2 linked regions of the Stegostoma tigrinum genome follow. The protein of the gene in region 2 interacts with the protein of the main gene of each other region in a biochemical or structural test. Links are inferred from orthologs where the notes say so. Each region holds a gene or a part of one and is shown on either strand. Other genes may lie near its edges.

Evidence for each region.
Region 1: the proteins of cav1 (region 2) and ptgs2b form a complex in vitro, tested with the Homo sapiens proteins (2 studies listed by BioGRID). The link is inferred for Stegostoma tigrinum from reciprocal best matches to the Homo sapiens genes CAV1 and PTGS2.

The regions. Positions count from the first base shown.
Region 1 is NC_081361.1:46,206,839-46,215,240, forward strand, and holds the start of ptgs2b (prostaglandin G/H synthase 2), read left to right. Parts: upstream 1-5,041; 5' UTR 5,042-5,071; coding exon 5,072-5,165; intron 5,166-5,570; coding exon 5,571-5,687; intron 5,688-5,790; coding exon 5,791-5,934; intron 5,935-6,530; coding exon 6,531-6,674; intron 6,675-6,981; coding exon 6,982-7,163; intron 7,164-7,333; coding exon 7,334-7,417; intron 7,418-7,561; coding exon 7,562-7,808; intron 7,809-8,017; coding exon 8,018-8,304; intron 8,305-8,402. UniProt on the Homo sapiens protein: Dual cyclooxygenase and peroxidase in the biosynthesis pathway of prostanoids, a class of C20 oxylipins mainly derived from arachidonate ((5Z,8Z,11Z,14Z)-eicosatetraenoate, AA, C20:4(n-6)), with a particular role in the inflammatory response.
Region 2 is NC_081371.1:34,142,940-34,151,504, reverse strand, and holds the start of cav1 (caveolin-1), read right to left. Parts: upstream 3,499-8,565; 5' UTR 3,181-3,498; coding exon 3,151-3,180; intron 2,257-3,150; exon of another isoform or gene 2,016-2,256; intron 1,241-2,015; coding exon 1,076-1,240; intron 1-1,075. UniProt on the Homo sapiens protein: May act as a scaffolding protein within caveolar membranes. Forms a stable heterooligomeric complex with CAV2 that targets to lipid rafts and drives caveolae formation. Mediates the recruitment of CAVIN proteins (CAVIN1/2/3/4) to the caveolae.

The DNA.
Region 1 (8,402 bases), on a different chromosome or scaffold from region 2:
CATTTAATCAGACCACATATGTCTATTTCAGCCTTAAATGTTTTCAGCGATCAAGAAGTCACCACTCTCTAGGGTGTGGAATTCCACAAATTCGCAGTCCTGGGTGAAGAAATTTCTCCTCATCTCATCTTGGACGGTCAGCTGCTTGTCTACATGCTATGCCTCTATGCCCCAGTAAGGGAAACGTTTTCTCAACAATGAACCTAACTCTAACCCCGTCAAATCCCCTTAAATGTAAATCACCTACCATTCTTCTAAACTCCAGGCAATATAGGCCCAGGTTCCCTCATATATGAACACACACACACACACAAACTCACTCTCACACACGCACACATTCTCTCTCACACACACACACACACACACATACTCTCTCTCACACACACAGTCACACACACACACACACACACACACACACACATTCACTCCACACATTGGCCTGAATCTTCACGCAGATGGGCACTCTCTACACTTGTGTTGAAAATGCTGGCAGAGGCCTGAATGTGAAAGTCTCACTTAAAACCCAGCACCTACCATTTTCAGGGCAGTGGGAGTAAAGAAAATTGCTGAGTGATCAGTCTGAACAACTCCAAGGGACTAAATGGAACTGTCAGTTTGCTTGAGGGGAAGGGATTAAGTGAACTGTTCAACTTCATAAGAGATTACTTGAAGAAATTTGTCTTGTTTTAAACAGTAACCTCATCAATGGAGAAACAACTTGATTTCAGCGGTGTTCCTGGTTTGCCCACAGTGAACACTAAGTGAGTTGGTTGGACAGCAGAGTAAGGACAATGAGTGAAGTCAGAGGCATAAATTGGCACAGGGGCTATACAGGGCTATTTGAACGAAGTCAGAAGTCACATGACACCAGGTTATAGTCCAACAGGTTTATTTGAAATCACAAGCTTTTTATCCACTGCCCTTCGTCAGGTGACAAAGTTGTTTTCATTTGAATGAGACTATCTATTCGCATTGGGATTGCAAGGGACAATATGGGATTATTGGATGGGGGTATGGAGGCCTGTGGGAGTTAAGATATAGTAGGTTAGTTTCCAAAGTCATTGTGTCTTTATTTTTGTTTTGTGTATTTCCTTTTTTAAAAAAATCAGAACCCTAACAGTGTTCGGGGCATAAGGGCAAGCTTCAGCTGTAATTAGGAAATCACGGAGGCCAGCTCCCAGGGATCCCTTCCTGCAGGGCGGGGAGATGGAGTCCGAACTGCAAATCCACCCGGTTCTGCCCTCGTCACGGAGCCTCACGATGGGTGCCTCACACACACACATTCCCAATGGGAACAGTGGGTTTTTTTCACCTGACTCAGAGCTTCCGGATCCCTCCTCCGACACAGGAGTTCTGGCTCACGTACAGACGACCGCCTCTTTCACGTAGGATGACCCGATCGCTGGCCACGCAAAACACGCAGCTCGGCCTCAAGGGAGTGAGGATTAACAAAATTGCGTAAAAGCGGACTGGGATCGCAGCCCAAAAAAACGCTACACACTGCGAATGAGAGCTGCAGCTGCGACCACAACAGAATGGGTCTGCATCCTTCTGCTTGAAATCCGGGCAATTTCCATGCCTCATTACAAAAAACGGACCATTCCAGATGACACTTGTTACAAATACACAACAGATTTTCAGGAATGTTTGAGGGAAGCCAACATTTCGAGTAGTAGACCCGCGGATCGATCCAAGTCTGGATTGCCTTTACTTTTCCGTTTAGACTTTAACTGCTGTGTGTTTGCAGCATTTAAAAATAAAAAATGATTTTCACTTCACATCACAGGGCACCCCCTGCTAGTATCTATTAATTGGAAAAAGTAACAGCACATGACAGTCGAGACTTCTTGCAGCCCGAAACAATGTGCCAGATGCTCCCGTGTCAACAATAGCGCCTGATTGGACTGAAGATGTTGTTTATCAGGATTCAGCGGGGCTCCCATTTACCCGGGAATTTCAAACGTCCAATCAGTTCAATTGCTAGGGCCGTCCACAGAAACAGGAACAGGACTAGGCCGTTCGGCCCCTCGAACCTGCTCCACCATTCAATAGTATCACGGTTGGTCCGACGCTCTTCATGCCCGCTTTCCTGTCCACTCCCCTTAATGACCAAGGGGAGCTATCTCAGTGGCCAAACCCTTGTGCTAAATATTCACGACTGACTCAAATGCTCAGCCTAGAAACGATCCTGTTTAACCTCTCGTGTATCGCAGTGATTTACAGAGTAACTCAACTCACCAGCGCATCCAAACACTTCACACAAAACCGGAAATCTTCACCCTGTTAAAAGTGCTACATCACTTCAACATTGAGTTCTGTTCACTGAATAAGACATTTCAAAAGAATAACTTTGAATCCACCTGTAGAGAGTTTAGGGAACTTTCTGAACAGTCGGGCTTTGAAATCGTAGCCTCATCGCAATGGACACAGTCTTGTGGAAGACAGACAGTCAAGAGAGCCCTGAGAGACAGGGAAGACCCATTCACTGCCTTATTGCCACTCCAAGCAATCCTGCTTAAGACTGCCGTGATGTTACCTGTAGGGTAGGACAAATTGACCGAGATGACACTGCCTCCAAGTATAAGCACAGATAGATGAAAAATAAGATCATGTTCAAACTATTGGTATGCCCCAGTGAGAGAGTAGACATCTTTAGCAGACCAAGGGAGAGAATGAATGGTGATTTATTGTAGAGTACAACTGTCAACGAACAGCAATGTAAAATAGTGCGAAAAGCTCCAACTGTTGCCACAATCCAGCACCATTTGAATATCTTAGGAATAAAAAGTCTATCATTGTAGCACCACCTCCACCATGACTGCTGAGCCGGGTGACCAACCACACTTGTGCTGTCAGCCCTTCACCACCTGTGCCAGACCCACCAACAGAGTTGCCACTCTTCAGGTGCCATCTCTTCATTGCTGGGCCCAACTTGGCTACCCAAAATCACACCACAACCGGGGATCCTTGGCTTCACTGCCACTGCTGCCGCCTCACTGATAACCAGAAGCCCCCTCCCCCCACCCCCACCCCAGCTCCGGGCCTACCACAACCATTATCCACTGCTGCCACCTCACCAGTAACTCAGAAGCCCCCAGCTTTGGGCCTGCAGTGACCAGTACCTGCTGCTGCCACCTCACCAATAACACAGGAACCCGCATCTCCGGGCCCACCACAACCAGGAATTCCTGGCTCCGCTGAAACCACTGCCTCACTGATGCATGTACTCCCTGCTCTGGGCCCAGCACAACCAGGTTCCTGGCTCTGCTGCCAGGCCGGGCTGTTACCTCATCAACAGCCCCACTTCCCTCTGTGACATTACCTTCTCCACTGCTGACAACAGGAAATGAGGTGAAGAAAAGGAAAAAGAGATAAGACAGAAGGGGTTAAGGAAAGAAGTGAAGAAGTGGCCTTCTGGAGGTGATGGCCCCAGGAGCCCAAATGCTGTGTACCTTGCCAGTGCCATCATCTTGAAGTTAGAATAAAGAAATTAACACAACTACCGTCATTTTGGAATTGTGATACAGTTTATATTCTCTCTTCAGCAATGTCACTCTCTGTTTCTTTGAGTGAGCTCTAAAAAAAAGTAACACCAACTCATCCTTTAACATTTGGAATGGTTACCACTTCACACCTAATATTATTGCTCCTGTTAAAGCAGTTAACGTGTGACAGGGCAATGGGGTTGAAGTGTATTGTGTGATACTGTGGCTGTCAGAGTCAGAGGACTAGATAATCTCAGTTATGGTTATGGTAGGCGGGGAAATAGGATGGCACAGTCCAGAAATTAATTAGAGTGTGTTAAGAGAAGTTGCGATGCAAAGGAAATTAAACACCCTCCAGCATTTAACCAAGAGCAGTACTGACAAAGATCTTTTAACAGGTTTGCCAACTACCTTGGCTGCAGAAAATATGTGATTTTGGGAGATTAAAAAATGGAGACAGGATTGAGGGGAAGGGACAGAAGGCGGATGGGGATGGTTGGTGAAACAGGGGAAGTGAAATTTCCCTGAATTATTTCCTTGGTAACCTTCACATTGTAAAAGATGACTTGATGGTACTGTGGTTTCTTTCTTTCAAATTTCAATGTCAATTTCATAGCAGATATCTTCAGTTTATTGTCAACAAAATCAAAACGGTTGAGCAAAAGATGTTCATTGATGATCAAAATGACAAACTAGGTATCATAGATTTCAGGAACCTCACATTTTTTGCTTACAATTGTATCACAATTTACACAAATATTTATCTTCTCAACATAAATGAAGTGAACAGCACAATGCTGTTTAGATTCTCTCTGACCATTATCAAGTAACGACAACAAGTAATTGTACATAAGAAGTAAAACGTAACTGAGTGTGAGGAATCGGAAACAAAAACAAGAAAAAAATTGTAAAGGGGTTCAAACTGAAATTCTTCTCTGTCCAAATTCTGATGATCTCTTGTATGTTTCCCAATTTAGATAATGTATTGGGGTGTCTTGTTTTTATGAATAGGTTAAGAGTGGAAAAGGAAGGAATTCGTTCTGAAACGATGTAAAACATGAATTACACCTCAGCAGGAGCAGTAGGTCAGAGTTGGAGACCACTCATTAAGAAGCACGTTAGAGATAGCCCAGAAGAGATTTATTACAATGGCAGCGGGATAAGGGGCTTCAGTAATGTGGGGGAATGGAGAAACTGGAATTATTTCTTGGGAGAGTTAAGGGGGTTTAGACTTATTCAAAATCATACTAGGTTTCTAGAGTGAATGCAGGAGAAATTGCTTCTAGTGTTTGATAACTGCCGGATCGGGCTCAAGACTGGGAAGGGAGCACGTGAGGGGAAAAGTTTTCTTGACAGAGAGTGGTGCCAAGAAATTTAATAATAACTTTACAAACAAACATTGGGGAAATACTGGACGATAGAATTAGAATTGCTATGGGGGGAAACAGACGGGGGCTGAGATGAATGGGTAAGGAGCAGACGATGAATAGTTGGAAGACGTCACGGCGTGACTCATTGTTGAGGAAGAGCCAGTCTTTAATAAGCCAAGGGGAAGCGCTAGGGAGCAGATTCACAACAGGCTTCGAATGAAAGTGACGACGCTTGGAGAAGCCGGCGCAATGAGCTCACGAGCAATGCTATTGTTACTTGTTGCCGCGATTCTCCCTCTTCACCAGGCAGGTAAGGAGAAAACTGACTCACTCTGTCCGCCTCTGGGCCAGGATAGGAAGCGACAGGCTGGGCACTGACTGCGGGGAGCGGTTATACTGCCCGCAGCGTAGGGTTTCAGCACAGTGTGCTTCAGAAAACATGAAGCAGGCTGCAGTTTCCTGCTCTGGATAGGATTCTGGTTTCTGATCTGCATGAGGTGATTACTGAACAAGAGCTGGCTCTACAATAAGGCGCAGTAGTTGTCCTGGTTACTTGCCTCCAACTCGAGTGATTCGGAATATAAACTAGTCTCCCTGGCTGGGAGGGATTTTAACCGTGCTACCTTTAAATTTGAATCAAGGTGAGGCGAGGCTGTGAGAAATACAAGGCATAAAATACCTGCGAGCTTGACTTTTATGTGTGTTTTCCTCACAGCTAACCCTTGCTGCTCCAATCCCTGCCAAAACCGGGGAGTTTGCACCGCGGTCGACTCCGACAACTATGAATGTGACTGCACTCGCACTGGATTTTACGGCGAAAACTGCACCTCACGTAAGTGCTGGGATTGACTGACAGGTTCTTTTTTTCTGCGCGTTCACTGTTCGCCTTTCGGATAATCCGAACCCTCACCTGAATACCTGTCCTCTCCCAACAGCCGAGTTCTGGACCTGGGTGAAACTGAGCCTGAAACCGACTCCTAACACAGTCCATCACATCCTAACCCACTACCCAGGAATTTGGAATCTAGTCAACCAGATCCCTTTCTTAAGGGACAGGATTATGCGTTACGTCTTAACGTGTAAGTGACTTAAAGTAGCAGACGGTTACTTTTATTTGGATTATTTGCTGTCACTTTTAAGTCAACAGTGGCAGTACCAAATGTGGAGAGCAGATGCAAATTAGGCTTTTCGTTAGAAAAAGTGTCATTTAAGGGACGTGGGCATTAATGACTAAGTCAGCATTTTGTCCGTCTCTTAATGCTGTTGTGCAGGTGGGAGTGAACTTTGCGGTTCTTGAGGGTCTGGGGTTAGGTTGGGGGTCAGAGGGTCAGTTCTGCAAAATTTCAAAAGGCAGTCATGGAATAGCTTTCAATGAGGTTATCATTGGGCACTAGGTACTGAAAGCATGGTAAATGCATTTATGAACGTTGGGATATTTATTTATTGCTCACGAAGTAAAATTACATATGATTCTGTGAGAGATGGCTAGGGGATGGGAAATGATCGGATTACATGGATTGCTATGCAAAGTGAGTAGAGGAATTTTTACCTCGTGGTTCATTAGATCGTGGGAATTTATTAGTTCTATATTATTAATGACATCATATCTACTGTTAGACATTGGATGGGGCATGTGGAATCTGATTATGAATGTACTTCTTTTCTCCACAACCAGCCAGATCTCATTTGATTGACAGTCCTCCTACCTACAATGCGAAGTACTCATACAAGAGCTGGGATGCCTACGCCAATATCTCCTACTACACCAGAAGCCTTCCCCCAACTCCTGAAGATTGTCCAACACCAATGGGAGTAGTTGGTGAGTTACCAGAACAAGAAAACTTTGCTGCCCTACTAAAGGAGATGTCCAGTCTACTCCTGTTCCCATCTGAGATGCGCTTCCTGAGCCTTGTATCGAATTCGTGTCCCTTATGGGTGAAAAATGTTGTCCAGGATGGTGCTATTTCCATCCATGTTTTTTCTAATGAGCAAAATACTGTAATGTTATTGCTGTAACAGACAATCCATGAAAAGGATTGTTTTATTGCTCAGGATTGGGGTGGAATGGCACCACTTTAACAGAATTAGGTTATGTTTTAAAGATCTCTCTCTCTCTTCTCTCGCAGGAAAGCAAACACTGCCTGATCCTAAGTATTTAGCAGAAAGATTCCTGATGAGGAAGAAATTTGTTCCTGATCCCCAAAAGACCAATATGATGTTTGCCTTTTTTGCTCAGCATTTCACACACCAGTTTTTTAAGACTGACCAGAGCCGAGGCCCTGCATTTACATTGGGTTTAGGACATGGTGTAAGTATAAATCATTTCTATGGTTTCAACAATAATTCACAAATATTGAACATTAAAAAAATTGTTATACTTGCTTGTCATAAATCAATTCATATCAAAAATATATATAATCCCAACGCTATGCTTAAAATTACTGTGAACTTGTATTTTATATGCTTTGTATTTTGCAGGTTGACCTGAGCCACATCTATGGAGAAACTTTGGATCGACAGCACAAACTAAGACTATTTACAGATGGAAAACTTAAATATCAGGTAGATGTTTAAACAGAATTTGTTATCATGTATTTAGAAAGGTAGCAACATTTGCATGTTCAATGTCCAAATGCCTTTGATTTGTTTGGCAGTGTCTGTACGAAGCCTTCATGAAATGATCTAATTCACAAATATTTCTTGTAGGTTTTAAATGGAGAGGTTTATCCTCCCACTGTTAAAGATGCAGGGGTAGAGATGACTTACCCTCCTCATATCCCAGATCACTTGCGGTTTGCTGTGGGCCAAGAATTCTTTGGACTGGTTCCAGGGTTGATGATGTATGCAACAATCTGGCTGCGGGAACACAACCGAGTTTGTGATGTGTTGAAAGCGGTGCACCCTGACTGGGATGATGAAAGGCTTTTTCAGACAACCAGGCTAATATTAATAGGTGAGTGGATCTAACATATTCAGCTGCCTTCTAAAATGGCTCCTGATCCTTTGGGCATTTTGAGATGCAGAGCAGCATGCTGGCATGAAATACAAAAACACTGAATTCGTAGAACTTTACAGGTTTAAAGTTGAGTTTAAATAAACACTTTGGCATTAAAATTCTCTGCATTTAAATAAATATTTAAACTATCTTATTAATTTTAATAGGGGAGACAATCAAAATTGTAATTGAAGATTATGTGCAACATCTGAGTGGTTATCACTTCAAGCTGAAATTTGATCCAGAGCTGCTCTTTAACCAACAATTCCAATACAGTAACCGGATTGCATCGGAGTTCAATACCCTCTATCACTGGCATCCCCTGATGCCCGATACCTTCAACATCGAAGACAAAGAATACAGTTACCGTGAATTCCTCTTCAATAACTCTGTGCTGCTCGAACATGGCATCTCCAACATGGTAGCTTCATTCACCAGGCAGATTGCTGGCAGGGTAAGTATCAGCTCATGTTCAGGATGTTACATCTTGGTGCAAAACCAGGAAGTCATTTCAACTGTAATAATGGAGGCAATTTCAACACTTGAACTGCT
Region 2 (8,565 bases):
CATCTGACACCCTCTGCATAAAAACTTTCCTTGCACGTCTCCTTTAAATTCCCCCTGTCCATCTTAAACATATGCTCCTTAGATTTTGAAATTTCCATCCTGGGAAAAAAAACTCCAACTATTCACCCTAGCCATGTCTGTCTTAATTTTACTGGCAGAGGGATGGATGCAATGAACAATGTAAGTGGTGGGGATTAGCACAATGGGCACAGAGCAGTATACAGAGGAATGGGGTCAGTGGACTTCATGTTGGATGCAGTGAGCAGTGGTGGAGCTCAGGGCACAGAGCAGTGGGCTGGGAACAGCAGACTCAGAACAATGAAGTGGGAAATGGACAGTGAGCTGGGGGATGGGGGTAGTGGACACAATGCAGTGAGTTGGAGGATGGGTGGAGTGGACAGTTGAGTCACTTGAGTAGGTAAAGATCAGCGGGCGGGGGATAGGTTCAGTGGACCGGCTTGAAATGTTACAGAGTAATCGGGTGCAGTGGGTACACAGCAGTGGCCTGGGGAAGGTGGGTGATGTGGACTGGGGTGTGGGTTGAGTGGTTACAGAGCAGTGGGTTGGGTGATGAGTGCAGCGGGGTATGGTGTTGCTTGCAGGGTGCAGTTTTGATAAATGCCTTTTATGCACTCAGTATAATCCACACGGTCCTTTCAACACACCGGGAGGACCCTGCACTTTTCACGCTGTTTACAAGTTCCGGTCTGTCGCTGAAATCTCAGGCTATTTCACAGATGAATCATCTCTCGGCCAATTCCATGTTTTTTGTGATAGCTTTCAACAGCAATCCATCCCTGGTGTCTATCAAACACATCAGTAGCTCAACATCAATTCATATCCTCCCTGGGGGTCGAAAATTCGATGCTTCACGGGGAGACACGACTCCCAGAGAAACTGGAAAAATTATAATTGGTAGCAGGGGTTCGTCAATAGGACTGCGAGCAGTTGGAATCGTACTGGGTAATAACCTTGTCCCTGCAAACCTGTTACCTCTGACTACCTTCTATACAAACATTTAACTTTAATTCCTGTATTATTCCCAACTTTAACAAAGTTCGTCTCTCTTCCTTACCTTAACCACATCTTCGTTCAGATGTTTTGGATCTCTGTTGATTAAATCGATCTCTTTGGTGTGAACATCTGTCACGTATTTCTCGTTCAACTTCTCATCTTCCATTTTATTATTGGGTTTGTAAATGTTCCCGTGGTCTCTGATCGGCGACGGGTATAAAAGTCCCTGGGAAGGGTTACAACAATTCCTTGTTTAAGCTGACTTTGAGTTGTTCCAACATAAAACTCGGAAGGTAGTCGCTGCTTGATGCTTAAGAGGAACTTTGTGGAGCCTGATCGTATTTAAGTGGAAAAGTAAAGCGGCACCACACCCCTGTAAACCGGAGCTGGCGGCAGCAAAACCATTTCCATCTGGCAGCAGGGGGCAGCACGGGGGCTCGCCTGGATACAGTGAGTCACTACAGTACTGACCCACTGGGAAATCTCCCTCACTGCCAGGGATACAAGTGAGTCATTCCAGTTATACACCCTCTGGGAGATCACTCCAACTTAGGGATAAAAGGGAGTCATTCCAGTAATGCACCCCCTCAAATGTCTTCCAACTGAGGGATAAAGTGACACACTGCAGTACTGCACCATCTAGGAAATCTCTCCAATTTAGGGATGTAGTGAGTCTCTAGCAATGCATTCACTGGGATTTTGTTTTTATTCAGGAATGCAGTGAATCAGTCCAGCACTGCATCTCACTGGGAAATCTCTCGTTGCGGGCTATAGTGAATCACTGCAGCTCTGGAAAATCTCGCACCAGGGACACCATCATCCAGGCTACCTCTTGCCCGTTTTGTTGGGACATCATCTTGTAAGACTTCGAGTCCAGAAACCGCTCTCTAACTGAACACGGCGTCGAATTCTCCTACAGCCGGCCTTCCCACCCTCTCTCTCTCCCTCCCCATCCCCTTTGGGCAATGCACAACTGCTCGAAGAGGTACCGAATTCAATACCTGTATACGAACATCCACCAGCCTCTGATTCCCTTCCTCCGAAAGTTCTGTTCTGTTTTGTTTTGCAGAACAAATGCAGGATTAATAAATCCAGCAGTTTGAGAACTGAGTCACCGCGGAGATCAGTCCCTTTAACAGGAAAGGGATTGTTTGGGGAGCTTCCTTAAGACCCGAGTGTCAGTACGAAGTTAACGTGTCGGACAGAATAGCGGGTTCAATCCCCGCACTGACTGTGGTACCTAATCGAGAACTGGTTCCTCGCCTTGGTCTGTGTAGAGTGGCGCCCTTTAAACTGTACTCGTCTTCTGAAACAGAGAGAGAGACCGCTGCCTATGTCCTCTCATGGGCTTCAGTTCTCCTGTGAATCCCTCATTTTAATGAAGGATCCTACAGGTTAAATCCTATCGAACTGACACCATCCATAAGTTACCTCTTGTCAATTGCCACTTTTGCATGGTTACAAGAATATCGATGAACGCCAGAGGAACAGAAAATGCTGGAGGGATTTGGTAGGTTCAAGTTGGGGAGACGGCATGGCAGACGCACAATAAGGATTCTGCGATTTAGGAATGAGTACAATGAAGCTTGCCGCCCCCCGAGAGCTTTGAATGCTCAGTCCTTGGGTATAAACCACCAGGGACTGATCTAATTCTGGAGGCAGATGGCTGAAGGGATAAGATTGGAATATGGATTTACCTCCTCATACTGGCGAGACAGGCACAAACAGCCGAATAGCCTGTTCCTGACAATTCTGAGGAGCATAGACCATCGCCATATGTTGTCCTGTCTCCCCAGATCACAAGACATTTTTTATATTCCACTGATTTACAAGTCTGAATAACAATCTAACGTGTATAATTGACTTCTTTTAAGAAAAAAAGCCTCGTGTATTTTCTAGCTTCTTTTATGGCCAAGTATTTTTGTTTCAAAGTCACGATAGGTTCAGTTATTTTGCAGTGTGCGTTCACAATCAACAGGCAACCTTGCCTACGCTCTTCACAATGAAAAACCGGTACAGCAACACCCCCCCCCCCCCCAAATATTGTTACTATCTTGCATCAGATCATTATTATTGTCCCGTTCCTCAGCTGTGGTCTCATTTAGTTGTAATAAGGCGGGCGCGACTCTTCCTTACCTCAAAATCCCCGGTTTTGTCACCAGACATAGCTTCCCAAACTGGAGGATTTCAGCAAATCTGCTGCAGCTCTCTATTACTATTACCCTGCGGAAGGAAGATAGTAACGTGAAAGTAGGTAGTGATCGCTGGTCCTTGTGGCAGACCGCCAGTTCCTCTGGGCTGTAAAGGGAGCTCTGACTTGAAGAGCTGCCGCTTTTCAGTGCACAGAACGCCAAGTTCCCAGCTACAGCGGAAAATAGGGAATGCATACATGACTTCGCAGTGAATCATAGCGAGCAGCAAGGCTTGGGCAAGACCCGCTGTGGGAGGCAAGAGGCGAACATCGACAAGCCAGCGAGAGGGAGAGAATGTGTGAGAGGAGATCGAGTGTTAATGCACGGATGCAGGGCATTCTTGTGCTGGCATAGGAAGGGCGAGACAAACTCCGGCAAATTAGTGACGAAAGTTCAACTGATACTTGCATTGTAATGGGAAAATGTTTTCCAAACAGGGTAACAGTGCAGTGAAGTCTGTTTCTTAGGAAGGGAAGCAAAGTGTCGGACATGGGGACAATGAGATGCTGCTTGGCCTGCTGTGTTCATCCAGCCTCACATTTTATTATCTTGGAAATTTGCTCGAGTTACTTGCGAGATTTATCATAGAATCCCTCTGGTGTGGAAATAGGCCCTTCGGCCCAACAAGTTCAGAGCATCCCACACAGACCCATCCCCCTATAAACCCACCTATCTACACACCGCTGAACACTATGGGCAATTTAGTGTGGCCAATCCACCTGGCCTGCACATCTTTGGACTGTGGGCGGAAACCGGAGCACCCGGAGAGAGCCACACAGTCACCGGAGGAGGGGAAATCGAACCCGGGTTCCTGGCGCTGCGAGGCAGCAGTATTAATCACCGAAATACCGCGCCGGTGTTTCGAAAAGAGGAAATCCAGCAAACTTCATAGGGATTTAACTACTGTTAACAATAGGAATCCGTCTATGGATATGCACTCATGTGGCAAAGACCGGGGGCCAAACTAAACTTCACACGGCTATTTGCCTTGAACTACAGTATAAAGGTCCCACAGTATTCTTTTTCGAGAAAGAGACAACTGGCGATGGGTTACCACGCCTTAGACAAGGGAAAATGTTGAGTAGGAGAGTCCCTCATGGTAACCTCAACCAGCATGGGAACTGAATCCATGCTGTTGGTGTTACTCTGCCTCACAAACCAGCCTCTGGCCAACTGAGCTAGCTAACCTGCAACCATTCTTGTCCATGTAATCCAGTTCTCCCAGGAGCATACATCTAACATCTTCCACTTTCTCAGATTTTTGGCGTGGTGGCTTAGTGATTAGCACTGCTGCCTCACAGCACCCGGTGCCCGGCTTCAATTCCAGCCTTGGGTAACTGTGTGGAGTGACACATTCTCCCCATGTTTGTGCCAGGTGCTCCAGTTACCTCCCAAGTTCCAAATATGTGCAAGTTAGCTGGTTTGGCCATGCTAAATTGTCTGGTAGTGTCCAGGAGTGTGCAGGCTAGGTGGATTAGCCATGGTTAATTTGGGGTTGCAGGGTCACAAGATTAGGGTGGGGTGCTGTACTGAGTGTCAGTGCGGGCTGGATGGGCTGAATGGATTCCATCTGCACTGTAGAGATTCTATGATCTAGGGATGGGTGTCCAAAATCAGCAGTCTTTGATACATTGGGAAAACAACATCTCCCTTCAATAGTGGTCCCAGGTACCATCATCTATAAACATGGGAACATGGTCCTGTGAAACATTCATTGCTATTAAAAGACTGCATCTCCAAAATCTAAGCTTTATTTCTTCCAACTAAATATTGGTAAGACTGCAGCTATTTTCTTTATGACATCCCATTCCAAGATCAAATGCAGTGATTCCATCATTCAAACAGCTCCAGCCACTGGAAGCAGCTGTTTGCACCTGTGGGTATGTTCTATTGAACCTGATTTTCATTCCCTCCATTATAATCATCACTTCCTCCCACCTCCAATACATTCTTGCCTTTGGACATTTACTGGTCAAACCTTCATCAAAGCCTTTGCACCCTTTGGATCCTGTGGTATTCCCTGTTGAACAATCCTGGTATCTGCTACTTCTGCCAGTATGTGGTACTGGGTAAGAGTTGTTTGATAGTTCACTGACAGATATACCATTCCCCTTTGTCTTTGTTTTGTATTCAGTCTGTCTAGTTATAAATGGTTGAGGATCCACCACTATAGGTTATCTAAAACAGAGATCTATTTTTAAATAACAGGAAGGTTTACTGCATTATCGTACAAAGTGCAACTGTTTTTTGCCATGTATAATTATTAAGACCTTAGTGATCTGATAGAGATGTATCTGGTCCCTCCAAAAGCTAGAATAATGTACAAGGTGTGTGTATGACAGCTGTAGAATAGTGGAGTCAATGTAACATTAACTCTTTCAGAGCCATTACCTTTATACAACAGATCCAACAATTCTAATGTTCCTTTGGCCAGTTATCCATCATCTGCTATTTGCAAACTTCAGCGCATTCAAATTTCTGATGCTCACATCCTATCCCATGCCAAAGCCCATTCTAATTAAATTACATCAGTTACCTGTCCACCAATACTTCAAATGTAAAAATCTTTATCATTGTTTCAAATCCATTCCCAAAATCACCTCTCCCATCTTTGAAGCTTCTTTTACAGCTAAATCCACCTCAGTGCTAATGCTGGAATCTTGTTCATCCATCTCCCAATTGGAGGTGACACCTTTCAGATCAGATGTTAAACTAAAGTATCATCCTCTCATTCCTGAATTTAAAAATGTGAAACGTAATTCAATGGGGTGTAGGGCAGTTTCCTTGGTGGCCCAGATAATATTTCTTCCCAAGAAACATCACTAAGCTGATTCTCTGACTCTTATCAAATTGCTATTTATAGGTATTTGTTATTCATCCAGTTTCATACATTGCAACATTTACTGTATATCAAAAGTACTAAAGTGCTTGTGAAGTGATAAAGTTACGGGAAGTGCTGTACCAAAGCAGGACTGGGTTTCATGACAAAAGTATGGAATAGCACTCCAGGAAGTGATTCTAAACCTACATAAAGCACTAATTCAATACCAAATGGAATTCTTTGTCAAATTCTAGGCTCTGTACTTAAAGAGGTTTGTTAAAGATTTAGAAAGGACGCAGAGATTTACTAGAATAGTTCTAGTGTTGAGGGATTGCAGTCATTTAGACTGACTAGAGAAACTAGAGAGACTATCAGATTAGAGAAGGTTTACCTGAGTTGTGATCAAGGTGTTTCAGATCATATAATGTTCAAACAGAATAAATAGACAGAGAGAGAAATTCCAAGATGTGACAACCAGGGATTTCAGGTGATTGATTTGAGACAATGAGGAAAATCTATCTTTATTCAATGAGTTGTTAGGATTTGGAATTATCAGAATTTGGCTCATCAGACACTGGAAACAGATACACTAGCCATCTTCAACAAAGGATTTGGACAAACAACTGATGGAGACAAATTGCAGTCCTATGAAGAAAGAATGGGTGAATTTTACTGATTGGATTTTCTTTTAAAAGTAATGCTGATCTCATTGTTCTCAATGGCCTTCTTCTCTGCTGCACTAGTTTGTAGTTTATGAGTCCTTTTTTTACCTTGTGCATGCAATCCAGCTTAGATATCTAGAGTGTATAAAATATTCAATTCAGCTTATCATGATGACTTACAAATCAAGCTTTTAAGATCGTGAACTGGCATATAGATTATATACTGAGTTTATATATAAATGATAATTTAGTTAAGCTCTGAGGTTACAAATAGTTTTGAGATTTCGGTATTATGGTTATAAAAAGTCTTTATGCATAAAGGTTTGCATCATCATTTGAGGTAATAGCTGTTGATAACAAAATATAAATCATGACAGACATGAAGACACATTAAAGAGTGCAATCTCTCAACAATAACTGGGATCTCTATGTTAGCAGAACAAGTTATGTCTAAAATGTAAGATTGCTATGCAGTTTAGCAAGGCTACATTTACTCAGCATGACAACTTTAGTTATCAGTTAGTGGTCTTTTCCACAAGTTGACTTTACGGTTCTGTCTGCAAGTTTACTTTTGATAGTTTGTAGTGATCTTTCCATAACCAAAGGCACATTGATTGAATTGTGGTATTTCAATTGTTGCCATTCCACAGTCAGTTAACACAATACAGAACAAAATCTATGCTGTTTTGTTTGTATGATGATAAAATCTGGATGATGCTTTTACCCAGTGGAGTCAGTGGATTTAAAAAAAAGACCTCCTTTAACTTTATTCAGTAATTGTAAAGTGCACATGATAAACTTTTCTAAATGCTAAATTTCTTAAGCTCCTGCTAAAACTGATTCTGGTTTCAGGCTGATAACAGACCAAATCATGTCAGGAAAATAAATATTAATGTATGATGCCACCCAGTTGTTTTAATTTGTAACTTTAAAATGGTATCACAAAATAGATCTGAAGAAGGTACAATATGTCCACAGGGCTCAACTTTTTAAAGTACTGACATAGATATTCCACTGATGTACAAACATAAGATAGATAAATATAGAATCCATTACATACGTGCAGTGCATAATCTTTTCAAGTGCTGAGAATACAATATCTTGAAGATAATCAACACTTCATCATCATTAATTGTTATTACAGTAGCATAATATTGGTCTATAAAGGTACAATATACAGCATTGTAACAAAGAAGTGTGCATATGTATTCTGATTTTGAAGATTTGTATCCATTTGATATGGTAAAATTAAAGTAAATCTAATCATTTAAGCATAAGCAGTTGGAATTGTTTTGCTTCCCAATCTTTCAATTAAAGTTGTTACTATTGGATATTCAATCACAACTTACATAAGAATATGAGGAAATAGGAGTGGAAGTACATTATTGGGGCCCTCAAATTTGGTCTATTAATCAATAAGATAATGTTTGATCTGATTGTATCCTTAACTCCACTTTCCTGTTAGCATCCATAAGTATTGACACCCTTGTCAAAAAAAATGTCCAGTTCAGCTTTGAGTATATTCAATTAGCCAGACTTCACTGCTCTATGGAAAAGAATTCCGAGCACTAATAACCTTCTGAGGGAGGAAGTTCAGCCTCAACTGTACCATAAAAATGAGACCCCTTATTTTCAAACTGAGGTTCCTACTTATAGATTCCCTGAGGGCAAACATCCTGTCACTGTCTACCCCATTAAGACCTCTCAGAATCTCTTATTTTTCACAAAGGTCACTCTTCTTTATCTAAACTCAGTGAATATTAGACTCAAACATCTTAACCAGATTATTGTTCTTTGTGTAATAAAAATCCTATATGTAACTTAAAGACAAAGAATAGTAAATGGGACTAAATAAGTGAAGGATGAAAACCATCAA